Linked DNA regions of Mytilus edulis. The protein of the gene in region 3 interacts with the protein of the main gene of each other region in a biochemical or structural test. Links are inferred from orthologs where the notes say so. Each region holds a gene or a part of one and is shown on either strand. Other genes may lie near its edges. The genes, in order: cyclin-G-associated kinase-like; dual specificity mitogen-activated protein kinase kinase 7-like; leucine-rich repeat serine/threonine-protein kinase 2-like; protein arginine methyltransferase NDUFAF7, mitochondrial-like.

What was found.
Region 1: the proteins of leucine-rich repeat serine/threonine-protein kinase 2-like (region 3) and cyclin-G-associated kinase-like interact on a protein array, tested with the Homo sapiens proteins (3 studies listed by BioGRID and IntAct, with this or other methods). The link is inferred for Mytilus edulis from reciprocal best matches to the Homo sapiens genes LRRK2 and GAK.
Region 2: of the proteins of leucine-rich repeat serine/threonine-protein kinase 2-like (region 3) and dual specificity mitogen-activated protein kinase kinase 7-like, one has a biochemical effect on the other in vitro, tested with the Homo sapiens proteins (2 studies listed by BioGRID). The link is inferred for Mytilus edulis from reciprocal best matches to the Homo sapiens genes LRRK2 and MAP2K7.
Region 4: the proteins of leucine-rich repeat serine/threonine-protein kinase 2-like (region 3) and protein arginine methyltransferase NDUFAF7, mitochondrial-like form a complex in vitro, tested with the Homo sapiens proteins (2 studies listed by BioGRID and IntAct, with this or other methods). The link is inferred for Mytilus edulis from reciprocal best matches to the Homo sapiens genes LRRK2 and NDUFAF7.

The regions. Positions count from the first base shown.
Region 1 is NC_092344.1:120,085,688-120,093,639, forward strand, and holds the start of cyclin-G-associated kinase-like, read right to left. Parts: upstream 3,665-7,952; 5' UTR 3,566-3,664; coding exon 3,433-3,565; intron 1-3,432. UniProt on the Homo sapiens protein: Associates with cyclin G and CDK5. Seems to act as an auxilin homolog that is involved in the uncoating of clathrin-coated vesicles by Hsc70 in non-neuronal cells. Expression oscillates slightly during the cell cycle, peaking at G1.
Region 2 is NC_092345.1:19,165,255-19,173,536, forward strand, and holds the start of dual specificity mitogen-activated protein kinase kinase 7-like, read right to left. Parts: upstream 3,137-8,282; 5' UTR 3,084-3,136; coding exon 2,906-3,083; intron 8-2,905; coding exon 1-7. UniProt on the Homo sapiens protein: Dual specificity protein kinase which acts as an essential component of the MAP kinase signal transduction pathway. Essential component of the stress-activated protein kinase/c-Jun N-terminal kinase (SAP/JNK) signaling pathway.
Region 3 is NC_092344.1:55,467,400-55,476,015, reverse strand, and holds the start of leucine-rich repeat serine/threonine-protein kinase 2-like, read left to right. Parts: upstream 1-5,382; 5' UTR 5,383-5,467; intron 5,468-8,616. Other genes in the region: 3 beta-hydroxysteroid dehydrogenase/Delta 5-->4-isomerase type 1-like, read left to right, coding at 1-59, 1,055-1,623. UniProt on the Homo sapiens protein: Serine/threonine-protein kinase which phosphorylates a broad range of proteins involved in multiple processes such as neuronal plasticity, innate immunity, autophagy, and vesicle trafficking.
Region 4 is NC_092346.1:102,471,676-102,480,126, forward strand, and holds the start of protein arginine methyltransferase NDUFAF7, mitochondrial-like, read right to left. Parts: upstream 3,346-8,451; 5' UTR 3,265-3,345; coding exon 3,213-3,264; intron 1,613-3,212; coding exon 1,467-1,612; intron 373-1,466; coding exon 292-372; intron 1-291. Other genes in the region: ERO1-like protein alpha, read left to right, coding at 3,593-3,697. UniProt on the Homo sapiens protein: Arginine methyltransferase involved in the assembly or stability of mitochondrial NADH:ubiquinone oxidoreductase complex (complex I).

The DNA.
Region 1 (7,952 bases), about 65 Mb from region 3:
CCCAGCGGAGCATCTGGTTCCATTTGTAACGAGGCACAACCCTAGAACAGTAAAAATTACTCTCCCAAAATTCAAACTTGGTCTTTGTTTTATTGTTAAAAGTATTACAATGTATAAGTTTTATAACATTTGGTTGAGCGAACTAAAGTTAAATAACTGAAAGAAAATATTCAGCAATTTTTTACATATGTAAAGGGGCATAACTCTAAAATGGTATAACTATAGCCACTAAAATTCAAACTTGATCAGTGTTTGTGGTAATGAGCATGCAGTGTGTATAAGATTCATAGCATTTGGTTAAGACAAACTAAAGTTAGAGTTCAGAAACTAAAATTTCCAGAAACTTTCCTATTTGTAAAGTAGCATAAAACTCTAGAATGGTAAAAGGGACGAAACTAAAATTCAAACTTGACTTGTGAATTGTGGTTATACGCATTGCGTATAAGTTTCATACAATTTGGTTCAGGCAAACTAAAGTAAGAGAACAGAAACGAATTTTGGGATGTATGGAGGTACATGTACGTACAAATAAGGGAAGGACGTACATACTTACAGCATAACAAGGAAAAAATCAATACGTTGGGAGCATAACAACAGCAGTATGACCACAGGAATAAAAAAATTATATACACTAGATTCATAGAGGTGCTTATAACCTGTAACACATTTTAGTTGCTGTTGTGAAATTAAGCATTGTCTTATGAGTAAATAACATTTGAGAATTTTTGTTTTAAGCCATTCATTTGATATATTACGGTAATCATTGCCACTGTGTTTGGATGACAAAGCAATTGAAATCTATTTATATATGGCATGGTATGCCTTAAAACTTTTCCAGATGCACAGGTTTGTCTGTTATCTATCTAAATTTTGGGGTGAAAATGCAGCCATTTTAGCCAAAGGGTTAATACGAATTTACAATAATACACCAGTGGTACGATGTAAATTATTGGAAGAAGACTGAAGAAGAACTGACGTTGGGTCAATGTTTTTCTGCTGTCAGTTTGACCCACTTGGGCATGCTTGGAATGTGAAACAATTAGTATTTAAATAACGGGAATTAAGTTTTCAAATGATTTTTGGCATCAAAATCTTCCGATCGATGTTTAGACAAAAACAATGCATTTTTTAATTTTTATTTTTTTTATCCAATCCGGTATTTACCTTTACTCGTCCTTGGCGTGAGACGTAAGACATGTATAATTTAATTTTAATTATCGAGTATTTTATATTCTTCACCTATGTTTTGTTTATAGTATCACTTATCACTTTTCAATTATCCGACGGCTTGGTCAAAATGTCAACTTGTTCTCGCATTTTAATCAGTCATTCCCGATTCTTTCGATACTCTCGGGATTTTACCACGTTTACGTAAGTACATATACATGATATAGTAAACAGGTAAAAGTAGAGCGGGAAAATGTTCATTCATGATCATTCATGAATGAAGGAAAACGCAATCTCGCGTAGATTTCTTGTGATTTTCTCTTCAGCGCATGGCAGATCCGCGAAGTAGTGTTTGAGATACTCATTTTTAAAATGAATGTAAATTAATCTGATTCGTCGGTGAACATTCATTTCTTTTTTATTCAAGCTATAATCTTTTCAGTCAAAACAGTAGGAACTCAAAATTTTAAAAGAATCTTCCAAGTATCAGAACTCAAACACATCTCAAGACAATTACATGTATCACTTCCTTTAACATAATTTTCAAGCAGTGTAAGGGAGGTACTCAAATAATCATTATCAAACATATATATATATAAATATATATAACAGTATTCTCTAAATTTTAATTGGAATTGGATTACCTCCCTTACACTGCTTTTACCTCCAACCAGAAAAAAACCTTGTTTCTCCCCTTTTTTGTCCCTAATTACTTAATGATTTGATCCATTACCCCAATAACCTTCCCTGTGAAGAATGGAAACTTGTGGTATAAATTTCAGAGAGATTTTCCCCCTTAAACACAAGTTATTGACTGAAAACTACAAAAATGCTTATTTGGACCCCTTTTTTGGCCCCTCACTTATAGAAACCCCCATCGACCAAGAACCCCAAAACCCAATTCCAGCCTAACCTTTGTATTATGAAAGCTTATAGTATAATTTCAGAGAGATCCATACACTTAAACACAAGTTATTGTCTGTAAACTAGAAAAATGCTTCTTTTTGGACCTTTTATGGCCTCTTATTCTGACACCCAGCCTTCCAGTTTCATATTATGACCATGTTATTAAGAAATTTTAATAACTTTCTTTCACTATCATGAATTTGTACCAAACTTGAACAGAAGCTTGTTTATGATCATCAAAAGCTAGTATCTAGAAGGAAATTTTGTTCAAATTTTGAACCTGTTTATCTGTATTTTACTTATAAATGGACTTAGTTTTTCTTCCAATTTAAAAAACATACAGTCTGCAGTTTAAGTTTTTAAAACAATTACTAGATTCATAAACTTATGATCCTGGATTCTTAGCAAAAGTAGGTGCGATGGGTTCTGCGGTACCCTTACAATTTTTTTAAAACTGAAACTGTTTTAGTGGCTATGATTATCAGTGTTTTAATATTAGCTTTTTACTTTTAGCGCTTTTTTAACAATAGTAAATGTATGATATGCAGATGCTGATATAGTATCTAGATTTATTAAGGTTTTTTTTATAAAACTAAAACTGTTTTAATGGCTATGCTTATCAGGGTTTTAATGCTTAGTTTTAAATTTAAACCAAACTCCTGCTTTTTACCCCCTTGTTTTAACTATATGGTACACATAAAGTACTGCTTTATTTGCTGATTTATTATGTGTAACTCTTAATTTCGGTTAAATTAATACATATCTGTGAAATTTAAGTTGCTTTAGATAAATAAATAAATAAATATTAATTAATTTAACCGAAATTAATGCACTTTTGATGTCTTACATTTGATGAATCTTCAGCATAAACTGTGATCCATTATTATCTCTTTTGAAATAGCATTCATACATTATTGTTTTTGCGCTTTACTACAAATGTCTATTATCTGAATTTGCAAAATACTTGTCTCAAGTTAAAAAAAATCAATGTCCATAACTTATTTCATCGACACAAGGTTGTCTCATGCCAATACAACATTGTACAATATCTGTATATTTTCACAGGGCACCTTTTCTTTTCGCCAGGGGCTATTTTTTTCCACAGGCACTTTTTCTAGTAGGACCCCTTGTCTCAGATTAAAAGAACAGTTCGATTTATAATACATCAATATTCTGAATGACAGACTTAAAATTCTAATAATCTATTAATTGATAATTGTAAATTGACGTAGAGAGGAAAGAGGCGTCCAAGAAGAAGATTTCTAACGCTTCATAATAGATGATTTCTCGGTTGTTTGCAAAGTCACAAACATAAAAGGCACGAAAGTGTGAATGTTGATATTAAAGTCGTGAAGTTACCTTCTGCAATGACCCTTTTCACACGGAGTTTCTGATTTCCCAGCTCAACCATTTGACCAACAAAATCATTCTCAGCACCACCGGGACCACCACCGCTTATTATCCCAAACGCCGACTTGAAAAAGTCTGTCATTTCTTTTTGCTTTATGATTTAGACTATCTGGACATTGTGACAGGCGTAGAGAGGTGACGTCAATTTGCCGGAAGTAATTTAATTTGCGATAATCATAAACATTCAACTAATAAATGTATTCTCACACTAAAAGATGGTGAGCTATCAGAAACCAAATATTGATTTCGATTTATAAAAACCAAGAGTTTCTAATATATATAACTAAAAATGAAATTAGTTACGACCTTATGAGATGACATATAACCGAAAAAAACAACCAGTTTAAAGTAACGCAATAAAGACCATAAATTGTTTCAGTTACAGCGGATTGACTCAATCATTGACTTCAAGTGACTTAGTCTTGAGTGTGTGGGTCAAGGTTGTATATTAGTAGGACCACAGATTGAGGATACTATTACATATATCATGTACAAACATGTGGAAGCTACTGTTTTTTTATACATCCAATCGTAACAATTTTTAATGATTTAGTCACTGTAAATAAGTCACATTAACAGTTTATGAGTTACCTATACATGTAATAAATGCAAGTAATTAAACTGATGTAAAAGAAAATGTATTTTATATAGCTAGTTTTAGTGTAAATACTGTATATACATTTTAGATAGTCTCTCATAACTCTTTTTAGAGTGGCTCTTGTATGTTTTATGATCATTGTTTTATCAACTGTTTGCATGTTTTATATATTGAAGAGGTGAGACTTAAATAAAATATTGTCTAGTCTTGTCTTGTCTTGTAAATATATCCACTGTAAATTTTTGAGCACCAATTTTATTTATTTTAATCTTTCAGTTATCAATATCTTTTTAACATAGCTATAATAGCTAATTTCTTAATAGTATGACTAAACAGATAAATGATGGCCTGCTGTATCAAATCAAATCAAATAAAATATGTTTAATTCCTAATCAAAGGGCCCTTATAGGCATATCAATTATTTATTATCATATCAATTACAAACAAATAAATCATAATAGACAAATCAAAACATAAATACATGTTTAGAAACAATATGAATATAATATATAATAAGATTCATATAAAAACAAAAGAACAGTATATGGGCGTTTTTCAATAAAAACGCACTTTCTTGTCCTAGCCACTTTAAAAAAAATGTGTTTGATCTTTGCAAGTAATTTTTTGTACAGTCAGTACATTGAATTAGAATTAACATTTTTAAGCAAAGAAGCAGTTTAGTTTTTAGAGGGATTGATAAGATATTGATTCCTGAATGGTAGAAAACAACCAAAATGGCATGTCCCTAGACCGCCTGTTCAACATCCATACTCTAAAATATCGTAAACAATGTAGAAATAAATGCTATTTTTACTTAATATAAGTTCTTTAATAATTCAAAAGTATGTTTAGAGCCAACATCATTTTAATAAACAGCTTTTAACATAGGATTTTTAATTTCAGAAGGAGTGTCCCTGACAAAATGTCCACTACGAAACGAAGTCATTAAAAATTGCTAATAAACAGTTTTATAAAATCAATGTAATTTTTGTTTTCAAGAGATATAAACATTAGGGTCTTACAAAAGAAGTGATGCTTTTATAACGGCAATTTAATCGTTGGTAAGAAAAATTGAGCACATCAAATGGACCAGAGTGATACCGTATTTTTGTGTATGTCCACTACGAAACGGGTCAAATCTCCTTCAGTATCTGGTTTTAAAATTATGAAAAACATATCAGTGTACAGCTTAAAACATGCTTTGATGAATACAATCAGTCTTGTTACTATTGCAATATAGGAATTGTGGGGGGAAATTAAAACATGTTAATATGTCCCCTACGAAACGGTCAACTACGAAACAAGTATGGGAGAAAAACGTTTCGTAGTGGACACTCCCACTACCATGCAGTCTTTTTTTTACTCTTTTTTTTTCAATTATATCCGTGCAAAACAAATAATAAGGGTTAGTTTCATGTTATTTTTATTATGTTTTTATTAACATAGAATAGGGTTGATGTCAACTACGAAACTTTTTGTCCGCTACGATACGGTTTTGTCAACTACGAAACGCATCAAAATGTCCACTACATAACATGAGTCAAGTGTACCTTCATATGTGAAGTACTGTCTAATCTTTATCGGTACAAAATGGTTCTCCAATCCAGAAAAAAATGAGATTTTTCTAGTATATAAAGTAAACAAACTGGAACGTCTATAGGAAACATTTAAAATTGCAAAAATATGTGTGTTTAGAAGCAGTTTCGTTTTTGTCCCCTACGAAATAGTACACAAATTATGAAAATTATATCATTTTATTAAAGAGTATTTAATATTGCACTTTTTGTTTACAAACAGGTCTATAATAGAGGCATTCAAAATAACTCTTGAAATTACATTTTAGACAAGTTGATTTTCCATTTTTAGGACGGTCTGAAAGTTACGCTTTGAAAAACGCCCATATATATACGACATTGTCAGTTCGGCAAAAGAAAGATAACTCTTCATCAGATATTATCATTAAAACCTGTATTAATTTTTACTTGACAGTATAATTTCTCACTTCTAAGTTTGAAGTCAAATATTTGCATAAATTCTTAATAAAATTATCATCATCACTTGTCATTATCCATATAAATAGGTTTTGCGAATTAAGTCTTCTTAGTTTTGGATATTCCATAAATAAATCATTAAGTAAAATGGTTCTTGAAGTTACATATAAAGGACATTCCAACAAAAAATGGAGTTCATCCTCAGTCACATTCAAATTACAATATTGACAAAGTCTTTCACATCGTGGAATATTCTCTACTTTACCTGACATGTTTACCCTGCGTTCATGACGACCAGTTTCAACTCTTTTAAATTTGTGATTACTTAATCTAAATTTGTTAAGAATTTATAGAAGATAGATAGGTTTCTTTACCAAATGAGAATTTAAATTTAAAATGAGTACTCAATTTACCTTTATCCTGTAAATAAGAATCTCTGGTCTCTTTCCAAGTCTCAAGAAAGCTGTTTCGGAGACATTGTTTAAGTGATTTTATGAATTTATATTTACTTAGGGTTTTACAATAAGCCAAATTAAAGTTTAACTTTTCCCCATAAAAGAGTATATTAGTGTATCAGGAATTATTATCTTTGTTTAAGCTATGTAAATGCGTATACTCCTTGTATGCATTATTCAGCAGGTTTGATGAGGAATTTTCAAGTCTGTGCCAATACATGAAGACTTGTTTTTACATGTCTATGTAAAGAGGATATCTTCCTAGTTCTGTAAGAACTCCTATATTAGTGCACAATTTAGTAACACCAAGGATATATTTACAAAATTTATGGTGAAGTTTTTCAGACTCCCAGTCCTTAAATATATCAAAGAGAGATGATGATTTTCTCTTAGGGGTTATATTAATAGTGCCCAGTTCTCACAACCATATAAAATAATAGGTTTAATACAATGATCAAATAAATGAAGAAAAGTACCAATACTAGGTAAATATGCTGTAAATATACCCCCTTACCACCTTTTCTTTTATATTAATGTTTAATTTCAATTATAAGGTCTATATTTTACTACCTTGTGACCCGGAGGAATCTACGAAGAAAAGAAAAGAAGTAGCTTTCAATTCTGGTATCCGCTATGATAAGTGTATTGTGGGAGAAGTAAATAGTTTTAAAAGCAGGGAAGTTCCTCAACATCTCATGACCCCTACATTGTTCGTTGAACTGTCAAACTTGACCGATTACTCGCTCCCGGTTGGTACAAGAAATAGAACTGACCAATCTAGAGTATTGAAGCCTCGTTGACCGTAAAGAAGAAGAGTAGGAACAGTAATTGTATCTAAAATTGTGAAACCAGTTTTTACAAATTTGTTTAAAAAATATGTTTTCAGGTCGTAGATGTGTTTGATTTGTAAATTTCATTTCGATCAATATAACATCTGTTCGTTTATAACTATATTGTTTACACGCCAAAAGGATCATTCTTATTCGCCCAATGTTAAAGCATCAGTGAGCGTGGTATAATATGAAGAAGAAAAAAAGCTATACAATCTTTGATAATTGTTTAGGAATCGATGAGACATGTCGTTTAAATTCTTGTTAATTTCATGTCTCCATATTAATATTGTTTATGATGTTATTAGTATGTATTTCAAATTTGTTCGGTTATTTATCATTTGTATGTAATGGAGAAGACGTTCTAAGTTGCGAAACTTGTGTCTAATCCTATTGTCAATGTGTTTGGACAATAAAATATGTTTAAACTACATAAAAAAATGTATACGGAAGCGCATTATTATATGGAAAGACGATATGATTCAATAGCAGAACATGTAACTATATTATTGAGATATGTACAAACTAAAAGATTTTTTTATAATGTATACGGTTGGCCTTGTATGCGTTTTTTATTTGAAAAATCAGTTAGATA
Region 2 (8,282 bases), on a different chromosome or scaffold from region 3:
TCACCCACTAAAACAGAAAATGACAAAACAATAACACATAAGAATAGACAGAGGCAAACAATAAACTGCCTACATTTCCAACACATGCGAGTTACAGGTAATTAAAAGATGATGTGGTTCATGTCTGTATCATTTTCATCTGTGTTTTGCTTCTGTATATCATTATCTTGGCATTAAGGACCACAATATTTGTTTACAATGAAATCTTCATACTTCCTGTCCTACATTCACTTCTATACAGAGGCTCACTTGCATTGATAAAATGTTAATATAGTGAAACTGCAATTTGTCATGCTAGAGTGAAGAAAATAAACTCATCAGATTCCTGACTGAACATTTTGTTTTTAAGACATGCTTTCATCTACAAAAGACTCATCAGTGATGCTAGAACGAGCTTGTGAATTTACATATAACTATGATTCAATTTTTTAAAGAAAGAAAGTTACGGTAATTAGTTGATGGGGTACAGTTTGTTCACCGTTGTGGTCAGGTTAATTTTTCATCTGCCAATGGTATAATATTATAAGTATGTATAGAAGTCTGACTTGTAGACTTGAATTGATACTTGTACAATGATCCAAACTCAGTTGATGAAAAAATAAATAAATGAGTCTTAAACTAAATATAATGAAATTTCAGAAATTACTGCAAGATTAACATAAATGAGGATGTGACTAATGTGATGAGTGAGTATCCCAATAATAAAACTTGCATTCTGATATCTGTATATACTTGTATGCAGATTTTCATGGTACACATGTAATCCCAACGATTATAGAATAATCTTATATTCTAGTCAATACTTCAAAATTCACAATAGTTATTGTAAGCAAATTATTAATGAGGTTCATTTTACATGTACATGTACCTATGGTTTGATTGATTGATCATTTTTGCTTTGTCAAATAGCGAAAAATAAATTCCTATAATTTTGAGATTCTGTGCTTGAGCACATGTTCGAGTGATTTTCTGATTTTGCTGCCCTCAGAATCCCTATCAAATCCGTATTAATGCTATTTACATAAAATTTGTGCAAGATTCCTCGCCTTTGTTGATTGCTTTAAAGTGTTCTACATTGTACCACCCTATTCCATCAATCTGAAGTCAATAGTAACTGAACAGAAAACATATTTGCCTTTCAGAATCTTGAAAATATCTTACTTTTTAGACCAACATTAAAAATGTCTTTTTTAACCCTTCCCATCTGAGGTTTTCAGGATATAGGTATACATGTAGGAAGATAGGCTGATTATTTTATTTTATTCCTTGATATGGTTTTCTATGTAGAATTTGTACAAAATTCAAAGATAGACTTTAAAGCACGATTCAGGCCATGTTTACCCAAACAGCATTGAAATGCTTTGATAGACTTTCTTAGGGCGGCCAAATTGGAAAATATCTAATTTACGCGGTAAATATTGCCACAAGGGATTAATTTGCCACTGGACAAAGCAAAATCAAACAATCAATCCAACTGTAGTCTACCTGTACATATACATGTATATGTTAATTGGCACTGTATAAATGCCACTCAAATCAATTCATCCATGGGAATCATTAATTAATACTTCAAATGCTCACATTTTTATCATGCTTATAATGATATTTGCAAGTATTTGTATATACAAATCCTTGATATTTGCAAAACAGTATTCTGTATTCTGTAGGTGTCGCTGTTGACACTGGATTGTCTCCCTTGTAATTTTTCAAGTCTAGCGTGTATATATTTCACTCTGGTAAACAACTCACTTGTACTTTAAGATATATACTATTAGGTGGCAACTGCTTAACATATTTTTACAAAAATTAAAAAGATATATACATTTATTAATTAACATGAAAATTTAAAGGAAAAAAAAAATTAAAAAATTTAACATTACATTAATCAAACCGGCGCGACTCGCAAATAACATGAATAAAGTCACCCAACAATCGCATTAGTGTTTCATTAGAGACGGAGACATTGTCGTTTTTTTTCCATTGACAATAAAAGTTCCAAATCAATATGCAACGATCCTGTGTTAAAGTATATCTCATGTATAAGTTTCTGTCTTGCCTCTTCATAATTTTCACAAAATAATAAATAATGTTCCACAGTTTCTAATTGACCACATTCACACTTGGGGTCTATATTTTGATTGACTTTGTTTTGGTAATTTTTTAGGTAGTATCCGGATCTTAAATTTCTAATAATTTTTGCTGTTTTATGTTCTGGATAATCAAATGTAGATTTTTTGCTGACGGTCTGATGAAAGTTATAATAAAATCTTCCTGTATCACTATTATCCCATCTATGTTGCCACTTTTTATTTACTAAAATTCTTGCTGCTGTTTTAATATCTTGTTTAGTTACTGTAATATGAGCTTCTTTTTGAATTTGATTTGCCTCTTTAGCTGCCTCTTTAGCTAGTTTATCAGCTATTTCATTTCCTCTTACATCTGCATGTCCTGGGGTCCAATCAAAATTAATTTTTATTCCATGGTGTTTTTGGATTGATTTAATAAGGGAAATAATTTCATGTGAAGTGGATCGATGATTTTCAATTTTCCAGTTTAATGTTAAAATTCCAATAGCTGTTTGACTGTCCGAAAATATTTTTACTTCTTCTATTAATGTTTTATTTTCAATTCTGCTTACATAATCTAATACTAATTTTATTGCAACAAGCTCAAAACAGTCAAATGATAACAAATAGTTGGATGAAAGCTAAATATTAATCTGATAATGCTGAATTCCAGGTTTGTCATTTCATTATAATTTGAATATAAGATTAATGTATCGAATAGAAGCTAAAGAATTGTATAGTTTTAAATACAATAGACTGTTTGAAGGGATAAAGTCGGCAAAATTGTGTTAATAGGGCAATAAATTCCATTGTTTATGTTTAACAAACTGAAAACGTACGCCCAGGTCTAGGTCTTCTAGCAGGACTAGGGTGTCCCGATTCTGCCTTTGGTGGTCTCGAAATTGGGAAATCATTTCCCATAACCATAGGTTTTGTTCTATCATGATCCCTTGATTTGTTTTCAAGCTTCAATCTTCGTTCTAACTCATTTATTTTTTGCTGTAGAGTCGAAGACATTTTGATCACATGATAAAATCGGAATCGGTAAACTGCTTGTGTAAATCATTTGTGCGCTTTAAATATTTACAGTTATCTCCTGGGAACCACTAATGACAGGACGATTGCCCGGATAGTGACAGGACGGTTGACCGGACGACATATATATAGTCATAACTTTTTTGTTATCCGATAGATTTGTTTAATATTTGTAAACCTGAAAGATATTAAACTATATTTTATGAATATAAAAAAAAAGAGGAAAAATAATTATTTTTGAGCAAAAAAAGTTGACCGGACGGTATTCACACTCGCCAATATACGCTAAATATATATTCAACTGGTTGACGACAAGTGTTAATATCTCTTTTGTTTTACAATATTTGTCCATGAAACTCAGGAATCTGTGAGATTTATAAATATATTATACGAAAATATAAACTTGATTGCAAAAAAACGTGTTTTTCTTAAAAAAAAGTTGACCGGACGGTATTCACCCTCGCCGATATACGCTATATATATATTGAAATGGTCGACGACAAGTGTTAATATCTCTTTTGTTTTACAATATTTGTACATGAAAATCAGGAACCTGTGAGATTGAATAGTATATTATACGAAAATATAAACTTTAAAGTAAAAAAGAAAAAAAATCTGCAAAAAAAGTTGACCGGACGGTATTCACCCTCGCCGATGTACGCGTTGATTATATTGAACTGAGCGACAAAAAATGTAAATATTTTTTTTGTAAACAATATTTTTTCATAAAACTGAGATATGTGCGAGATAAATAAATATATGATATGAAAATATAAACTCTATGATAAAAAACTTATTTTTCTTAAAAAAAAAGTTGACCAGACAGCTAACATTCGCCGATATATGTTAATAATAATAAATTGATTGACATAAGTGTTAATATTATTTTTTTTACCATATCTGTCCCTGAAATTTATGAACATTGGAAATGAATAAATATATTATACGAAAAATTAAACTATATATTTAAATCCGGACGGATTTTACATTCAATCGATATATGCCTTAATATATTGAACTGATCGACACAAGACTAAAATATCTCTTCTTTGGTTATAATATTGTTAATAGCAATATTTTATGAAAAAATAACCTTTATAGCAAGGATTTGTATAGTTAGAAATCCTTGTTTATAGTTAATAGTTTATATTACTATCGAATAAATGAAATTGTTTCAATTTGTTCAAATGGTAAAAATTGGCGGCAACAAATTGTTAACCGACCCCTTCCGTCTGCCAGAATAATTCTGCCCCCTGCTCACCAACGGGGAGGTGGAAGTGGGAATTTCGAGCAGGATATACCTTTTATTTCAAAATTACATCGTTATTACAAAAAAACAAATGTGGTTCATTCACAAAGCAAATACAGGAAACAAACACAAATTCATACAAATTAGACAGTTGAACGGTGTTCATCACAGAGCCAGTCCCCTAAAACATTGGAACAACTCTGGTGAACCCACTTGCTGCAAGTGACACGTCCTCGTTTGCCTTCACATCCAAACATATTTTCCAATATATCAGGCTTACCACAAACACAGCTACATTCAATTTTTCTTGTGTGCATCTTGACTGAGTCAGCACAAGAATTTAGTGATTGAGGGAATTTAGAAAAGTATCCCAGTTCAAGGCATTTAATCAAATGCTCTCTCATTACGCCTTTTTATAACTGCATTCATGCTTTCACATGCATTATTGGTAATGCCAGAATATGGATCATAAAGGTTTTGGTATTTATCAATTACCCATTTGCCACTGTGAGTAAGAATGTCCTTTTCCATCTTTTCAAAGTATACTACTACCGGTTTTGACCACTTTCTGATTAATTCATCTTTTAATTTGTGTGATCTGAACTGGTTGAAAGTCAGAGCATAAATGACTGAACAATTGAATAGTTATTATTAGGTGAGTTAAATGTTAATCTGAAATCCTGAACTTCATAAAATTTCTTCTTTAATTGGATACTAATTACCAACTGATTATAAGGTAATTCAATTAAATGTATTTGATATCTCAGGTGTGAAAACTTTAATGACATGTTATTTGGCTTGATTGGTGATTACAACAAGTGTCAAAATTAGATTAATTTGATTAAATATCATTACTTCTAATATGCATTGGTGAACTCGCTCACATAAACATTTTGGGCTCATTGTTTTTACTTTAAAGTTTATTTTTCTTGTAAAATATTTATCTAATCTCACAAATTATTTCATTTCATGGACAGATATATTATAAAAATGAAGAGATATTAAAACTTGTGTTGATCAGTTCAATATATTTAAATAATAATATCGGCGAATGTTAATTCCCTCAGATCAACTTTTTTTTTTTAAGAACAACATTTAACATATTTGATATAAGGTTTATATTTTCATATCAAGTACTTATTGATCTCTCAGATTTCATAAATTTGATAAAATAAAAGAGATATAAACACTTGGGTCTACCAACTTATATTAAGGCATATAGCTAACGGCGAATGTTTGTTCCGTCCGGTCATCTTTTTTTGAAGAAAAACATTTTTATTTACTATAAAGTTTATATTTTCATATCAAGTATTTATTGATCTCGTAGATTTCTTAGTTTCGTGTAAAAATATTGTAAAACAAATAAGATATTGACACTTATTTGTATCAGTTCAATATAATTAACGCGTACATCGGCGAATGTGAACACCGTCCGGTCAACTTTTTTTGGAGACAAACTTTTTTTTTCACTATAAAGTTTATATTGTCGTATCCAATATTTATTATTCTCACAGATTCCTGAATTTCATGATAAAATATTGTAAAACAAAAGAGATATCAACACTTGTCGTCGACCATTTCAATATATATATAGCGTATATCGGCGAGGGTGAATACCGTCCGGTCAACTTTTTTTTTGAGAAAAACACGTTTTTTTGCAATCAAGTTTATATTTTCGTATAATATATTTATAAATCTCACAGATTCCTGAGTTTCATGGACAAATATTGTAAAACAAAAGAGATATAACACTTGTCGTCAACCAGTTGAATATATATTTAGCGTATATTGGCGAGTGTGAATACCGTCCGGTCAACTTTTTTTGCTCAAAAATAAATATTTTTCCTCTTTTTTTTTTATATTCATAAAAAATAGTTTAATATCTTTCAGGTTTACAAATATTAAACAAATCTATCGGATAACAAAAAAGTTATGACTATTTATATGTCGTCCGGTCAACCGTCCTGTCACTATCCGGGCAATCATCCTGTCATTAGTGCAACCCTTATCTCCTGACAACAATTCCAAACTTGTTCGTGCACTCGAGTTCGTGCATAATAATTTAATGAAAAGACGAAATAAAAACGAAACAAGAACAAAATAAAGATAACTGGCCAATTGCATTAGGAAGGCTGAACGATGGCTTGATTATGTCACTTAAATGTCCAAGTGTTGTATCATTTACTGTGGCAAACAAGGTGGTTTCAAACTCGTCACATGATACAAAGTTGACCTTATAGAACGTTTTGACTTTTTTTTTGGAGCCAACGTGTTTTGTAAATGACATAATAGAGAATTCAAAGATATTGCTTAATTAGTTAAACTAAGACTGCTACCTTTGTTAATTGGTCCTAGATGTAAAGTACTAGCTATATATGAAACGAGTTTCTTGAAATTTAAATATTATCGAGCTTATTGGATTAATGCATGCATTCCTGTTTGAATGGTCATTTTTGGGGCCCTTAAAAGACCGTACTTCAACCTATAATGGTTTACTTCTACAAATTGAGACTTAGATTGAGAGTTATCTCATTTGGCACTCATACCACATCTTCTTTTATCTATATATACTAAACTTAGCCGTGCATGCACCCTTTTTCTATATTTATTACACATTTATAATAAACTGACGAAAATAAAAATATTTCATCCAGTGGATGTTGATGTGTTTAATGTCAAAGTTTGCCAGATCCTGACATTGATAAATAAATCAAACAGAGCACACGGAAAGCGTGACAGATAAGTGAATTGAAAGAGCCGTGCCATTTGTTTTTTTTATATATCCATGCGTTCCCATTAAGGTTAATTAAACTAGTCCATTGACAGTTTCTAAAAGTAGGGACGAAAGATACCAAAGGGACAGTCAAACTCATAAATCTAAAACAAACTGACAACGCCATGGCTAAAAATGAAAAAGACAAACAAACAACACCACACACGACACAACATAGAAAACTAAAGAATAAACAACACGAACCCCACCAAAAAACTAGGGGTGATCTCAGATACTCCGGAGGGGTAAGCAGATCCTGCTCCACATGCGGCACCCGTCGTGTTGCTTATGTGATAACAAATCCGGTAAATGGTATAATTCGGTAGGTCACATTCATGAAAGGGAAGGGGATTGTATTTACAACGTAAGGAACATATCCGATATCATTTGTAAAACGGTTATTCCATAACGGTCAACCAACTCGTGGTGGCGTCCGTAAAATTTACGAAGGGATGATTTCAACTTCACCATTTGGAACTCTTGGTTTAATTGCTTCCTTGTGAGCAGCAACCCTCTATCAAGAAAATCATGATAGGAAATGCAAGCACGGGAATATCGTATCAATTGGGAGATATATACCCCGTATGCAGGTGCTGCTGGAATGTTGCTACTTAGAAATGGAAAGTTCACAATTGGAAAGCTGAAATCATCTCTTTTGTCGTAAAGTTTTGTTTTCAACCGACCCTCATTGTCAATTTCTAGATGTAAGTCAAGATATGAGGCCGACTTAACTGTATCTGTAGTATCCTTTATCTCTAGCTCGATGCGTTCCACATAGTCACCAAATTTTGAATTATTTAGTGAAAGAACATCATCTATATAGCGAAAAGTAGAGTTAAAGGATATTGCAATCTTCTTATCTTTCTTCCTAAGAAGTTCCTGCATGAAGTCAGCCTCATAATAATAAAGAAACAAGTCGGCAAGTAGAGGGGCACAATTTGTTCCCATTGGAATGCCGACAGTCTGTTGAAAAACGCGTCCCCCGAACGTAACAAATATGTTGTCAATCAAGAAATCAAGCATCTTGATAATATCAGTTTCAGAGAATTTTTTGTTCGAATCAGAGTGATGTATGCTGTTCTAAATGATTTGTTGTATCATTTTTTTAAAACTGCTACTTCTATTCACATTTACGTGTGTTGACATTCTTTCATCACAG
Region 3 (8,616 bases):
GACTAAACAAGCAGGAGAAAAAGCCGTTCTAAGTATGAACAACAAACTTCTTCCAAACGGTATATGAATTAAACTGTAAAAAGTGTTATGTTGCCATTGTACGGTTTAATGCTTTGAAACATTGTGTTTAGTTTTGTTAGGTTAGCCACTTTATGTCACTGACAGGCCTTTAACAATGAGCAAAACCTATACCGCTTATCAAGCTATATTTAAAAAAAAAGGATCCAAAATAAAACAATTCAAACGAGATAACCGACTGCCTGGTTTATGTAAACAAAGAAAGGAAAAACTAATATGATTAACAGATTATAAATTGTTTCAGATAACCTATATGCATGATATGCATTTTGAATTGACGTACGTTTGACCGAATTACATACCTTGATAGGATAATTTCTTTTAAACTACCGGTTTTTTTATCCGTTTTCAGAGGTGTTTACTGAGTGACATTTAGCTGAAATTAGTAAGTACTGGTAAAAGTACTGGTTACTATTAAATGTCATAAACAATATTCGTTGTTGATGACATAGTTTTGACATTTTACCGTTTAATGCTCAAAAAAAGCATTTGTTCTATTGTGGAGAGTTGTCTGTCTGGCATCATACCACATCTTCTTTTTTATATTAGCCGTTTTTACGCTGTTTACTTTTGGACAGAATAACAATTTAAATCCGAAGTCTCTGTACATCAGCGAACCCTTGCAAACACTTTTATGGGGTCCGCAAGCAGCATTGTGCGAGACTAAATTTCTGCCCTTAACTAAATACCTTCAATTTGTATTTATGGGCATTCCACATTTCATGTATGTTCACCCAGCCTGTCCATCTACTTTGAAGAACTAACTTTTACTTAATACATAATTAAATTGTTGGTCTCCATGCATATTGATATTTGCCATTGCACATTAAACCATTAATCATCAATTTAAAGTGAGCAATACGGAGTCCATGCTACGGTTAAGCTTTATTCTGTAATACATGCTCTTTTATTTGAAGATTCTTGCTTAAATTTTGTTAATAGCATTGTACATATATTTATGTAGATTTCTTTACAGGTATTGCATTTCGAACCATTTCTTTGCGACCAATGGTAATTTATGGAGAGCTTGATCAACATTTTATACCTCAGGCTATAGAAGCTGGACTGCAAAACAAAAAGATCATGATTGATTTTTGTGGCAATGGAGCATGTTGTCTTGTTTACGTTGGAAATATAGCTTGGGCTTTTGTATGTGCTTATAAAGCAATGAGGTCAGATAAAACGCTTGGAGGCGAAGCCTTTCTTATTAAAGATAACAGTCCTAATAAATCAATGATGAAGTTTTGTAAACCATACTTTGATTCATTCAATATATCATTGTATCGGTCGTTTGTTCCTTATTGGATTCTGTATGTACTGATAAGTTTTATTCACATTTTACTGTTTTTAATTTCACCATTGAAGAAAGTGCAATTTCCAGTAACAACAGCAACACTTATATATACAAATTTAGCGCTGTCGTTCGACGATTCAAAAGCTAGAAAAATGTTACAGTACAAACCTTTGTACACTCCCGTAGAGAGTTACAAATGTTCACTTAAGTATTATAATTCACTTAACTTTGATAATAAAAAGAAACACTAGTTATATTTTTCCTATAATCTATTTTGATTTTTAGTTATGGCCACACAGAAAAGTGTCAATAAATAAACTGCACCATACAAATGAAAACAAGGAAAAAAGATAAAACGTAATGTCGTGTAAAACCCCAGTCGTTTGCATAGTAAACCCCAATAGCATCAATTATATGCCAAATACGTATCACAACCAAAGAAAACATTCCTAAAAATTGGCGATACTCAATTACACAAATTGAACAACTAATATGTGCCTTGAAAAAAAGCAACTTGACAAGCAATCAAATTGAGAATGGAAATGATAAATGTGTCGAAGAGGGACGCCCAAAGAGCACAAAAAACAGCCGAAAGGTTTTAAACACAACGAGAAAATCCCGAACCCGGAGGCGTGCTTCAGCTGGCCCCTAAACAAAAAAGTGTACTGATAATAGACATCATACTAGACTCCGAAATATATAAATGAACTAGAATAGCCCGAGGCTCCAGACTTGGGACAGGTGCAAAAATGCAGCGAGGTAAAACATGTTTTGTGAGATTTCAACCCTCCCCTAAACCTGTAACCAATATAGAAAAAACAAACACACTACAATATGCACAATAAAACTCAGTTTAAAAGAAGTTTGAGTCTGATGTCAGAAAAGGTAACAAAAGAAACTAAACAAAATGACAATGATGCATAAATGAACAAAGGACTATAGCTACTAGCAGTTGCTGACATGCCAGGATCGTATGAAATAAACATAATTATACTTAAACGGTAACTGTAGTTGTTTACCTTCTACGTTATATTAGTCTCTTATGGAGAGTTATCTCATTTGCAATCATACCTTCATACTTTTGTATAAATCTTATTGTGACAATTTGTTATAGTGTGGAATCGTATCCGGTCTCAATCTGTGAAGAGATAATGCGAATATTACGGGTTGTGTTCGTTATGACCCATTTATGGGCATTATGTTTTCTGATCTGTGCGTCCGTTCGTTCGTTCGTCTGTCCCGCTTCAGGTTAAAGTTTTGGTTAAAGTGTTTGGTCGAGGTAGTTTTTGATGAAGTTGAAGTCCAATCATCTTGAAACTTAGTCCACATGTTCCCTATGATATGATCTTTCTAATGTTAATTTCAAATTAGAGATTTTCCCCCATTTTCACAGTCCATTGAACATAGAAAATGATAGTGTGGATGGAGCATCCGTGTACTGGGGACACATTCTTGTTTCTTATTCATTTGTATCTTCTAAATGAATTTTTGAGATTAAGAAGAGTAAATTACTGTTGCTTCTAAGTTAAATAAAACAGACATGGCCATGACTTTTGGCATTTTCAACTGAGCATTGACTTTGGTAAATACGAGAGGAAGGCTATGCTATTGCATGATAAAAAAAGTTACATTTGCCTAACAATTAAAACATTCATGTTTATCAAGTTAAAATCTAAACCCAACTTATAAAGGTCTGCGTGAGGAGCGCAATATCGGATTGTATTTCCTTTTCACGACCAATCTTGTTACCGCATTGCTTGCAAGAGACTACTTGAATCATCATCGTTTTATGGTCAAACCCATGTCTATAATGTTGAATCTCAATATCATATTCACTCATCATCTCTAAGCACCAGGGTTATAAACCCTCGGAGATTGCAATCGCAGTAGCCATGTTAAGGAATTCATTGTTGATTATTCGAACAATACAGGTTACTCAAAGCTAGTTACATCTGAAGTGCCTAAGTAAGATATCGACTGGAAGTACTAGTAGCTTTTTTTGTGACACACTATTTCATTTTGAATATGAAAACAAGCCGATACAACTTTTTATAAATTGTGCATATTCTATTATCTGTTTGTGATAACACATGCAGCCCCTAAATATATTTTTCTTTCTTGTATCACTGTTATAAATGAATGGTTTTAATCACGGTTTGCCAAAATTACAGATTTGGTCAATTTTGATTTTAGATTTTCAAAAAATCTAAATTGATATATCTTTTAATATTGTTCTCTGCTGTTTATTGTGTGTCATAATGTAAATATGTTCGTGTTGCTATAGCATTTAACTACATATACTTTGCAAATACAGATTTCATTCATTCAAATATATGGAAGAGGAAACACATCTTTTAAAGTGATGCCATTAACTGTCCTATAGTCTACACATAATAGCTGACTAAAACACAACTACAAACAAAACAAAACTAAACAAATCCGTATAGAAGAATGCTCGTAGTTCATGAAATATAACCTTCTACTGTATACGCAGATACGATCTTTCATACATGGCAAAATACAAACCAGTATGAAATTTTGATACAAAAAACCTAAAGAAACATTGTAGTTTTGATTTCAATTGTTAAAGATCTATTTGATGTTTATATTGCAAAAAAACAAATTACCAGGATGTAACAAAAATTTAACACAAGTCAACATTAAAATTTAGTAAGCCCATTAGGGACGACATTAAAAGTTCAATGAAGGATAAAAAACTTAATTCAAATAGTTTTTTCACTGACCCCCCTACCCCCTATTAACTTAATTTGGGAAAAATTGATTGACCCATGTGGATATATGTAAAAATCAATGTCGGATAGCCAAATCTTGCAGCAGTTCAACCCCCACCCAAACTATTAAGTTTTTTTGTTTTTTTTTTATCTTACATTGATCTTTTGATGTCGTCCCTTAGCTGAGAAGAAACAAGATGTAAGAACAGTTCATAAACTTTTTAGTTTTACAAATGGCGTTGTCGTTAAGTGTTGGATATGAAATGCCACTATTTATTAATTTCCTACAATTCAGTGAATACTGCCATAAACTTTATCGAGTTAGTAATGTACGGTCAAAGTTGTGTGAAGACAATTTCAGCCTTTCCAAAAATTTCATTTCTATATGAGTAACATTATATGCATGCCTAGTTTATAATTATAAATGGTTTTTTTTTTTTTATTAAAGTGTGTGTGTCAGGCCTATCCACCACAGTGAATGGCTGGTAAGTTTGGGATATTTGACTTAAAGTTAAAGTAGATACCATCAAAACTGTTATCATGCTAGAATACTTGTTTCCGTTAGAATTGTTTTACATTTGTTGTGCCGGTGCCTTTTATAGCTTTTATGCGGTATGGATTTCAAGTTCTTATTGTAGAATGTCTGCTTACGGTAGCCTATAAATGCTAACATCTAAGATCATCTAAGTCATTGGGTCAAACAACATCTTTTTATTTTATATGAAAAGAAGTATAAATTATAGCTCAACTTTATAACTGAAAAATTAATGACCACTGTATATTCCTTCAAAGTTCTTAAAAATTTAGAGTTTCTTTCTTACAGTCAATCATATGAACAGTATCCGTTGACTTTAATTTCATGACAAACCAAGACAAAATTTTGATGAAACATATAAAAGGTTCTTTTTTTTATTATTTTCATTTCTTTGTTATAGTTATTGTCTTTAATTTGCTTTACTTCGGGAGATAAAATTCATCGTTCATGTACGTTTGCAGTCTTGTAAACTAGTACAAAGAGATGTGGAGCAGCAAACAAAGAAAATAAACAAAAAATACCTCAAACTTCAACCGAAAGGGGGGCAATTGATCCTGCTAGGAGCAGTATAAAGACATGTAAGCTAAATTTCATATAGTAAGTTATTCTGTCTATAAATTTCAGCCATACTATTTGCCCTTTAACATGTTAAATATCGCCAAAAGATATGTGTAAAAGTGGGTATGTATGTACAAATGCTATAAATACATTTGGGCTAATCGGATACCTATTTAAAATTTTATCTCACATGATCTTAAAATCAGGTGAATTTTATTTATAACACAGGAAATGGACAAATCAATTATGGTGTGTATATTCATATTTCAGGTAAATACAATATTTACGTTCAACGTTTTCCAATTCAGACCCAAAATAAACACTCTTAATTTGAAACACAATCTACACCGCCGCATATATTTATTTGTGAACAGGAAAGAAAATACAAACACTATAGACCATCTTTTACTCCTGCTATCAAACTCAAAGAATAACTTCTCTGTATAAATAAGATTCAATGAATTATGAATAAATAAATGTCAACATACTATAATATATACGTGGTAGGTCATCACAGAAACCTATAATAGAGAATGTTATTTCAACAAAATGTGTAAACTTATGTAATTACACCCAATTCGACGACCTCAACGGTATACCATTGGCATGGTTTGCTAGTACATGGCCGTATATCGAACTGTGTGTTCCTGCAAGGACCTTGCACATATACTATACTATTCTCAGCGAGAACATGGATAGTCTATACTAACTATATTAGTATATAATGTCCCTGGATAGTCAGTATAAGAACTACCCGGTATCCTTACGTCTGGGACCAGATATATATATGTATTATATATCTTTACTGCATGGGACCTAAATGAGGACTTTATATTGCCATTATATCATTAGATGTATCAGTATGCCCAGTGAGGTTATGTCACGAGGTCATATAACCTCCTTGGTATGCCTGAGCTTGTTAATAAACTGTCCTAAATATGGAAAATCTCTAAATGGAACCTCTGAATTATTTCCCAGCACAAACTCCTCAGCACCTTTTATCACGGTCCAAAAATCTGTCCAAAGCCTTTTAAAGTTATTTAAATATATGTTTCGAGTTGATTGTGACGTCCATTTTCACACTAGAACACATTTTTGTCTAGTGGACAGCCAAAGCAGCCGCGGGTATAAATCTTTTTTTTTCTAATATAGGATTTCGCTATATTTTTCTATAAATGACGGGAAAATACGAAAACCAGTAAGAAAACTTGAACATGACGCAGCGGCATTAATTGTGCCAGGTTGTGTGGTGTAACTTCAGTGTTTATTGTGTAACCCGTTTTCGCCTCCTGACAGAATGCATGGGGTCATTGCCGTTTTCAAGATTTGTCAGAGGTTTGGTGAAGCATGGACTTTTCTATGCTGTGTTTTGTAGACTGTTGTTTGTCTTTCGCTTCGTTTTTTAAGCATGGCTTAGTTTTCCTTCACTGATGATGTAGTGTTGTCTAACAACGAAAATGCGCGTTCATAATATAAAATCAAGATAACTTTAAGCTTATGGTCTACACAAGTTTCATTTGAATCAAAGACATATATATATAGTATCATGTACGTCTCTAGGTTGGATAGACAAATTATGCTAGATCGATACCTGTGTTATATTAATATATTTTTTTATAAACAAGTGTTAGTTTTGAGATATCTAAGTCTTGAAGTTAGAATAAATAGCAAACCAAAGTCTTAGTTTGTGGTCAGTCCACTCCTGTCACCTTTTAACGATTCTTTTATTTTCTTTTGTTACATCTTCTGACATCGGACTCGGACTTCTCCTGAACTGAATTTTAATGTGCGTATTGTTATGCGTTACTTTTCTACATTGGCTAGACTGGTAATGGGGAGGGTTCAGATCATCTCATAAGCATGTTCAACCACGCCGCAATTTTGCGCCTGTCCAAAGTCAGGAACCCATGGCCTTTGCTAGTCTTGTATGATTTTTAATTTTAGTTTCCTGTGTATAATTCGGAGTTTGGTATGTACTAGTGTACATATTTTTAAGGGGCCAGCTGAAGGACGCCTACGGGTGCGGGAGTTTCTCGCTCCTTTGAAGACCCCGATGATTGGTGGCCTCCAGCTGTTGTTTACTCTATATATATATGGTCGGGTTGTTGTCGCTTAGACATTATCCCCATTTCCTTTCCAGGCACTCGTCTCAGATCCCTATATACCTGAAGTTATAATAAGGAGGCCCCTCATGGGGGGTCCTAGTAATCACATAATCACCATTTTTTTGCCAATATAATCACATAATCATTAAATATTTGCTTATCTTTAGTAATCAAATAATCATAAACTAAAAATACAGTCCTAGGTAATCAAATAATCATGAAATATTTGGCTTAATAATCAAATAATCATTAAAAAAACGGCCAAGTAATCACATAATCAAAAACCCCATGAGGGCCCTCAATAAGGTATATACGATTTTTTTTTCTGAGACAAGTGCCTGTGCAGTGAGTGGCGGCTCCAGCCATTTAAAAAAAGGGGGGTCCCAATTAACCCAGAGTAAAGGGGGGTTCCAACTATATGCTCCCATTCAAATGCATTGATCGGCAAAAAAAAAGGGGGGATTCCAACCCCGGGAACCCCCCCCCCCCCCCTTTTGGATCCGCCACTGAGCACTGTGTAGTTCCTTTCTCAATTTTAGATAAATTATGTAATTGCAAGCACTATTTGGTAGTTTCTTTCCCCGACGCTTCGAGTTCCCATTTTGTTTGCAGGTCCAAAAGATTTTTATAGAGCTAGAGGAGATGCTATAAGTAACAAGTCTTGGAAGTCCAAATTTGACATTCTTCTTCATCTTACAGTAAGTGGCCAAGGTCAACTGATTGACCATGTTGACTATCATGTCACAAAGTGACATTTTTGGAGTGCGCCCATGAAAATAATTTTAAATTTATATATCTTTATAGGTGACATGAGTAAAACTTTATTTTGGTTCGGCAAATTGACAAACATATTACAAAATAAGCTCTATTGTATTTTTTTCTTTCAGATCAGAAACCAGACTGAGTAACATATATGCCTCCCCCTTTTTGAAAGTAAATGGTCAGTCCCTAAGTTAAAAATATAACATGATTTATGATTTTTCTTTTATCATTTTATAATTGCTACTCACTGGCACTGCCATGACTTTCAGTCAATTGAAGAACATCGCCTTCTGGCACTGTCATGACTTTCAGCCAGTAGAAGAACATCGCCTTCTTCTTTGTCATTCAGTACGCCATCCTCATGCTGATAATAATGTGCCTGAAAACAATGATGTCACTATGTTGTGCATATGTGGCAGGGCATAATGTGGGTTTTCAAAATTCTAGTTGCAGGCAAATATACTGATACACATGACATCTATCATGTTGATATGAGAAGATGTGTTATGAGTGCCAATGAGACAACTCTCATCCAAGTCTAAATTTGTAAAA
Region 4 (8,451 bases), on a different chromosome or scaffold from region 3:
GAATACAGTCTATCATAAGTTACTATGACAATAATCTATTAAAGATGTAGTGACTTCAAAATCAATGTGTGACCATGTATCCAAGTAAGGTTGCAATCTGATATAAAGTTTTATTTAACATGCAGAGATGACAGACAGACTGATGAACAATCAAACAGTTTAAAACTATAAACAAAGGTTACTTTAAAGTTAGGGTTACATTAAATGTTATTTCAATTATTGAGGTCAATATAAACTAATGCTTATGAAATCGTATCAAATTTTTCTATTTTTCAAAAGTGATATTTATACCTCTCCAAACATCTGACTGATTTCAGGTGATGTTATAAAGTCTCCTTCTTGTCCAAATACATCCCTTGTCATATAATATCCCTGTAATAGAAATCATCACAATAATCAAGAGTTGTCATTGACAGACAGGCAAAGTTAATATATCAAAAGTTTTACATTGTAGAAAGCATGGTATTGTCCATCTTTATCCATGGTATTTAACATGTTTAACCTCTATCTAGAAGTTCTGTGATAACAAGTGAAACTGCAAGCTACTGCTCACTGATGATACCCCCACCCAAATGTTTAAGTGTTTGGTAAACAGGAAGCGATTTAGTGATAAATCTGAAAACGCATCACAGCAGGTATAGCTGACTTATATAAACCCTGATAGTTTTTTCACAAATCCGTATGATGTAGTTCCTGAGAATGATGCAACGAAAAATATGCAACATTTCAGGGGGGAAAAACTCCAAAATAGGTGAATAGATTTTTCAAAAATTTTGAGACTAGATTTATATAGAACTGAATGCTGCCCATTTTAACCTTGTCATTTTATCTTTATTTGCTATATTTGTTTTAATAAAATAAGCCAATACTACAGTTAGACATCTATATTCTGTTTATGAACAGGTCGGCAATGTCAGTGGATCAACTAGGAGAAAGATCATAAAATTTACAGAAGACATGCTATAGATGAAGCAGACAAATCAGCGTTAAAATCTATCAAGCAGTTTCAGAGGAGAAAGTTTTAAAGAAAAGTTTATAGACAGTGGATGGATGCAAAATGTTGGCAAAAAGCTCACAAAACCCAACAGGCCATGTTAGCTAATTTAAATAGAAATTCGAAACATTAAATGTTTTTAAAATAATTTCAGTTCCCTTTCATTCATATATAAAATCATTACATCATGTTCAACCATTGTCCTTCACAAATGAACATCATTTCCTATATAACATAGTGCGACTGTCACGTATTATTGCCATTGATGTTGTGTATAAGACATTTATCTCCAAAGTTATAAAACCAATGAGAACATATAATTACAGGGGAATATAATATCTCGTACAGCTACTTACATCCTTCATTTGGACTTTATTGGATAGTTGTCTCATTGGCAACTATACCACTTATCCTTATTATTTATCATGTCTCATTGGCAACTATACCACATATCCTTATTATTTATCAATACCTCTGATGGACTGGTAAGAACTTCTCTCATGTAATCAGCAACTGTAAGGGGACCTGTTGCCTTGATTTTATTCATCAAGCCCTTCATTATTTTATTTTCCTTCAGCTTTGTGCAGTAACTTCTTCCATGTTTGAATAATCCTAAGCCTGTAATACATGAAAAGTTAGAATTATGATCTGATTAACAGAAGATATTTGTAAACTACACTTTATTTTCCTGTGGATTCATTTTAAATCGTGGAATATCAATTTGCATGGATTTCCTTGGTTTAGACGAAACCACAAATTGAAATGTTCAACCAAATACAAATGTTCTATATTCTTGTATGTATAAATTGACAAAACCACGAAATTAAATATCCACAAAAATGCAATGTTTACTGAATCTAAGAAATTTGATACCCACAAAAATAAATGAATCCACAGTATTAGCCATTTGATATTTTTTGTTGCAATGGAAAATAGTATATCTAAGTGATGTTTGTTGGTTTGCTGTCTTATTTACAATAACCCTCAGTCCCTTTTCATTCATACCAATGTTTCATTCCAATGATGTGTAAAGGACATCTTTGGAGAGAAAGAGAACTACAATTATATCACATCTCCTAGTTCTCATATTAACCAACTATTTTAACTTATCCTATCATAAAGTTTAGGTTGAGCTACATGTAGCTATCAAACCAGGTTTAACCCATCATTTTACTATTTGGTTTAATTACTGTTGGGGGCAGATTCAGGATTTTTAAAAATGACCACTGTTCATTATTATAAAAAAGGCTAAATGTAGTACTACATACTACATAAATGACAATATCAAGTACAACTAAAAAATAAAAGTACCAGTATCTATCTATCTATCATAAGGGCATGATATATAAATGACAATCTTTTCAGCGAAAAACATAATTCGCAAAACAGCCAATCCCATCTCATGCTGTAACTTAGTCAGTTAGTATAAACAATTATGTGGCATTTTGAAAACTGAAGTAAATAAGGTATATGACCCCTTCTGTGGCCTGTCAATTACAAACTTTTCAAACTGCAATAGTATCAAAACAGCAAAAATAATGAATAATAAAGATGAACCAAATTGTACATATACATGTATCAAGGGGAAACCTCATGCAAAGCATTAATATTTTTAGTTTAATTGCATTTAGTAGAAAAAGAGAATTTGGTGAAAATAAAACCTAGATTTTTGTAGACTTTAATACTAAGATTTTTGTTATAAAATTTTAAACATAGATTACTAACTTGTTTTTCTATGATCAGCTAGTGTTTATTGTTTACAAAAAGTCATAAACAACTTTTAAATTCCAAAACACCTTGTGCTGAGTCATTAAAGGGTGTACTTGAATTGATCCATATTTATATTTGTTTTAACCAATATCTAAATTTATAAACTAGTTTTAAAGAAATTATTGCTAGCACTGCATGCAATAATCCTCTATCAAGCATCGAATTGCCAATTATGAGGTTACGAGGGGGAAGGCTGTGGATTTTCTATAAAATTTCCATATGTTTTAAAGTATTGAATCAACACAAGGGTACATAGTCCTTAAGGCATCATAGAAAATAATATGGTTTAGTTGACTATATCCTCAGCAACACTATTAACAGACATGATCAGAGATATTCAGTGTTAATGATTCACTTTTAATTATATGAATAATATCATCAATATCAATTTATCTTCAGTAAACAAAATTCCCAAACAGAAATGACCCTGTAAATACTAAATATATACTATTGCGTCCCAATACACAGTGTGTAATTTTACTGAATGTCAAGGATGACATATTACTGAGATGGTCCCTTCTGCCTGTGGTTATGTTACGGTTATTGTTTAGATCCTTTCAAGTAATGCCACGTTCGTTTTTAAAATATTTATCCGCAATGAAAAATATTGTAGTATTCAAGAAATTAAAGTTAAATATCATTTGCTTTGTGATAATATAACATATATTGTGTGTCATCGAGTTTTTATATATTGAAATGATTATTGAAACTTTTCATAATAGAAGAACTATATTTTGGTGGAATATCATCCGCCGAGGTGTTGCAGGTCACCAAAATAAACACGGGAAACACAAATCATGTGAAGTTTCGTGAAAAGTGTTATTTAATATGAAGCTTGTCATACTTTTGAACATTTTATTTTTACATGAGTTTGTAGCGATAAATTATAGTAGTGGCCCTGTCAGTGGTAATTCAGAGGGATGTTTTTGTAAGGTAAGACATTTAGACACTGTTGAGTGTTGTTTTGTTTCTTCTTCTTCTTCCAGGTAAGGAACCGGATTCATTGCTGAATGTTAATGGTTCCGCGCGAAAACTTTACGCAGTGTCGGGCAACACAGAAAGATTTCTCTTGGCTATTTACAAATTACATTTAAAACGTTCGCAGAAAAATATACAATTAAAATTATTTACAACTGGTTTTCCTACTTCCTTTCAGAGCATGCCTTCAGGGCAGCTCTGAATCCCTCAACGGTGTTGGTCGCTGTAACTGTTGTTGGTAGGTTGTTCCAGTCCCTGATTGTCCTCGGGAAGAAAGATTGGCCGTAGGTGTCTGTACTTGTTCTTTCTTGGAAGAAGCGGTTTTTACCTCTGGTCCGGTTATCATTCGGCGTCAAATATTGGTGACGGTCTATATCTATAAGTTCATGCTGGATCTTGAATAGCATGCACAATCTATTTGTTTTCCTCCGTTCTTCGAGGCTTTCCCACTTTAGATTTTTAACCATATTTGTGACACAGCCAGGTGTTCGGTCTGTGTAGTTGTTATTCACAAATCGTGCAGCTCTTTTCTGAACCTGTTCAATTGCCTTGATTTTATTTTGAGCGGTTGGGTCCCATACTGTGCTTGCATATTCCACTGCAGGTCTTACCATGGACACATATGCAGCTGCCTTTACCGGTTTTGTACAGCCTTTGAGGTTTCTACGTATAAACCCCAAAGTTCTGTTTCCTTTGCCTACTGTATTGTCTATGTGTTTATCCCATGTTAGGTTGTTACTGATGGTTACTCCAAGATATTTACTTGCTTACTCTGTGTCTAGAGTATGACCGTGAAGATGGTACGATGTTTGTTTTTCTTTTAAGTTCTATACTATAGTTTTACAAATTACAGTACATGTTTATAGTTGTCTAATATAAGGATGATGATTACTTAATGTTGCTTGCAAGGACATAAATTATTCTCCCAGAAAAGAAAAATAAGGGAATTCAGGAAGCTGTCAACTATTCTGGGAAAGAGGAGAACTTAAATTACCATTCTTCTTCTATACGTAAATCCTTCCAATTATGGAACACCTCCTTAGAAAGGATATCATCCAGACGGGAGTTAATTAAAATTTATACACTAAAAATTTTCCCCAAATAACTTTAAAATTTTAAATTCACTGTACACGGATAAAATCTAAAATATTTAAGGACTGATAACATAATTTACACAATAAAAGGTAAAAATATCTAGGCCCTATCAATATTTATTTATAATATTTACTGTACACAACTAAATTTACTCTTGAGTACAGACAACCCAAGCCTGGTCATCTGGAAAAAAATTAAGGCATAGCATGCATGCCCTACATTTGTAGATAAATAAATTTCAAATGTATTGTATGATTTAGAAAATTCAAAACTAAACTGGTTTTTGCAGTGTGCTTTTTTTTTGCCCCTGCCAAAGATGGTAAAATTTACAAACTGGTGTGTTTCACTAGATATGGTCCACTCAGGTACACATTTTAAATTGCCAATTATTGTCGGGTATCTATTGTTCATGTCAATCAATACCATGAATACAGGTCACTTCGATTATTACCTGTGGGGAAGTTCTCAAACCACTTTCCCAACTTAGTTTATTTTGGCACTTTCAGGGGGAATGAAAAAAAGTGCACTGCAAAATTCTGTTAAGCTTATATTTTTTTCTAAAACATGAAACATATTCAAAATTTATCTATCCAGAGCAGGTCATGCTATGCTTTTAAGCTTTTCAAGATGCACAGGTTTGTCTGTACACAGAGTAAATTTTGTGAGGAAAATGTAGCCATTTTAGCACCTTTAGCCAACAAAAAGACATTACAATTAAAATATATATCCCACCATAAGCCTCAGTAAAAATCAGTCACCCAAAACAAAAGTGACATCCTAAACAACAAACACAATATTAATATTTAATAACAGTATCAATAAAATTGAAAATGGAAATGGGGAATGTTCTTCTCAAGTTAAAAGAACGACCCATAATGGTTTACTTTTATAAATTGTTATTTGGATGGAGAGTTGTCTCATTGGCACTCACACCACATCTTCCTATATCTACCAATAAAATCTCCATTTTTTTTCTATAAAACATTAAATAGTGTGTACAGTTTCCTTGTGTTATTACTTCAAAACAAATTTGGAAGATAATGCCTTCTACAATCTCCACATTAAAGTCCAGAAGTACATTTTAGTTGCTGCATCAACCTTTTTGTGAAACAATTTGAAACATGTATGCTGCTTTCTCATCTTTCTTGATGTTTTCTTGTAAAATCATGGGGTTGTCAGGTCATCTTTCAGCTTATTATTCCTAAATAAAAATGTTCTATAACGTCTGTCAGTTCTGCAGTAATACAGCATTTTTAACAGGGGGCTCGTGGGTATAAATCATTTTTTTGTTGAAAAATAGGATTTTGCTATATTTTTTTTATAAATAACAGACTATTATTTGAACTTGGAATTATTTTTAATTATGAAATTTACTTGATTTCTTGTTATTGAAATTTTTAATAAATTCCATGTTTATTCTGTACTGAAATGTTCTGTGCTGCGCACAACACTTTTTATTACAAAGAAAATAGTATATTTTCAATAGAATGTACTGTGCTGCGCACAACACTATCTAACCAAAATACATTGTATGGAAAGTGTTATTTTAAAACCGCTCAAAAGATTATAATACCAAATAAACATGGAATCTATTAAAAATTTTAAACGCAAGAAATTATGCAAATTCCATAATTAAAAATAATTCCAAGTTCAAATAATAGCCTGTTAGATGAACTTTATCATATACTTAATAGAAAAATGAAATAAAAAAATGGGTTCACTGTTCATTTAAGCTCACAATCTGCCTCCTATTAATAGAAAAATGAAATAAAAAAATGGGTTCACCGTTCATTTAAGCTCACAATCTGCCTCTTAAAGAAGCATACATTTTATTAATGTCCTTTTTTTCTGTTGAACTAATAGGAGAAACAGAAATCGCTTAAATTTTACAATTATTTAGTTTGTGTACAGCTTATTTGAAAACAATAATGAAAAATATAGGTCACCATTGAGTTAAAAAGATACATCAATTTTAATGTAAAAAAACAGCATTTTTGCACCAAAGGGGGATAATTTGGAGCTTTTTCAATGATATAAACATTTTAAAAGTCATCTAGGGTCAAACCGAATTGATTTTTATGGTTGATTTTTGTACCATATCATAAAGTAATAACTACGGTAATAGTTTAATACATTTTGTAAATAAAATTTGTAATGAGAAAACAAATATATTTATTTTGCTGAAATTTTTGTACCTGCGAGCCTCCTTAAGAATATTTAATTATGTATCTTCCTATATATCTATTGTTATTTAAGATAAGATAAGATAAAAATTTTATTAATCTAATCAAGAACCCATAAAGGGCATCATTTTACAACACAATATGATTGGAAAAAAGCAAAACAGAAAACTAATACCATACCATAACGTTATGGACAGGATCAGAGCCTAACACAACATGTGTCTTATATAACTATTAACTATTTTAAAATCTTATAATATGAGATTCTGTGGCCAATGGGGAATGTAAAAGGTAAATGTTGAAAACATGGAAAAATACAGAATCTCTTACATGTATATTATTATCAACATGATCAAGCTAGCCCTGACAATATATATAGTCATGATGACTGATATTTAGTAGACACCTATATTTTTTTACCTTCCTTACTATAGCAATTTTGATAATATTCTACTTTAAGGAAATTCTGTACCAAGTCAGTAATGTAACAGTTGTTGTTTATTCATTTGATGTGTTGAAGCTTTTGATTTTGCTTTTTGATCAGGGACTTTCCATTTTGAATTTTCTTTGAGTTCAGTATTTTTGTGATTTTACTTTTTGTTACTATATATTTTAGTGGACATATTCATATACATTGTATGTAACCATTATTAATATAATTGACATTTTTAATTGTTTTTGTATTAACCATATTGATGGAATAAAAACATATTTCTAAAAATCTTTTGTTTCATTCCTCAATATATGAAATAATTAATCATTTCAACTTTATTTTTCATATAAAAGCCAACCTGTCTCATTTGACCCACCTAATGCAAATGGGGAATGTGAGGCTAGCTATTGTTATCACTGAATGTCCATCCTCTACTTTTTTGAATGAATTATATTATATTCTTGTGGATCGACCAGTAATTCTTTATTTTGAATTTGTAAAAAAAATTCCGCATGTTTGCCTTTAAACTACATACATTGTACCAAATTCATTTCACTGATGACTAAATCTGAGATCTTTCTTTATCAGGTGCATCAATTAGGCAGCAGTCTAAAATAAAAGATATTTACTTTCATCAGTTTGTAAAAAAAAATTAATAAGTAGTATATATTTTTTTCATTCTGTTTGGCCAATTTGCAAATATCTATTCCTCTAAAATATAAACATCAAACATAATTATATTTTTTTATAGTAAGAAATGATAACAAATATTTAGTAGAAGGTGAAGTGAGCAACACTAAGGTCCTCTTAAATGGACTCCAGCAGATGACAAGTATAATTTTCACAAACTTATAATGCAATAAAAGCATCACATGTATTCTCTAGAAAGAAATTAAGATGAATGTATATAACATACATGACATATAGACCGAAAGAAAAAAAACATGTAGAAAGAAATCTAAACATACTAATGAATGTAAAAAACTGATGTCAAAATA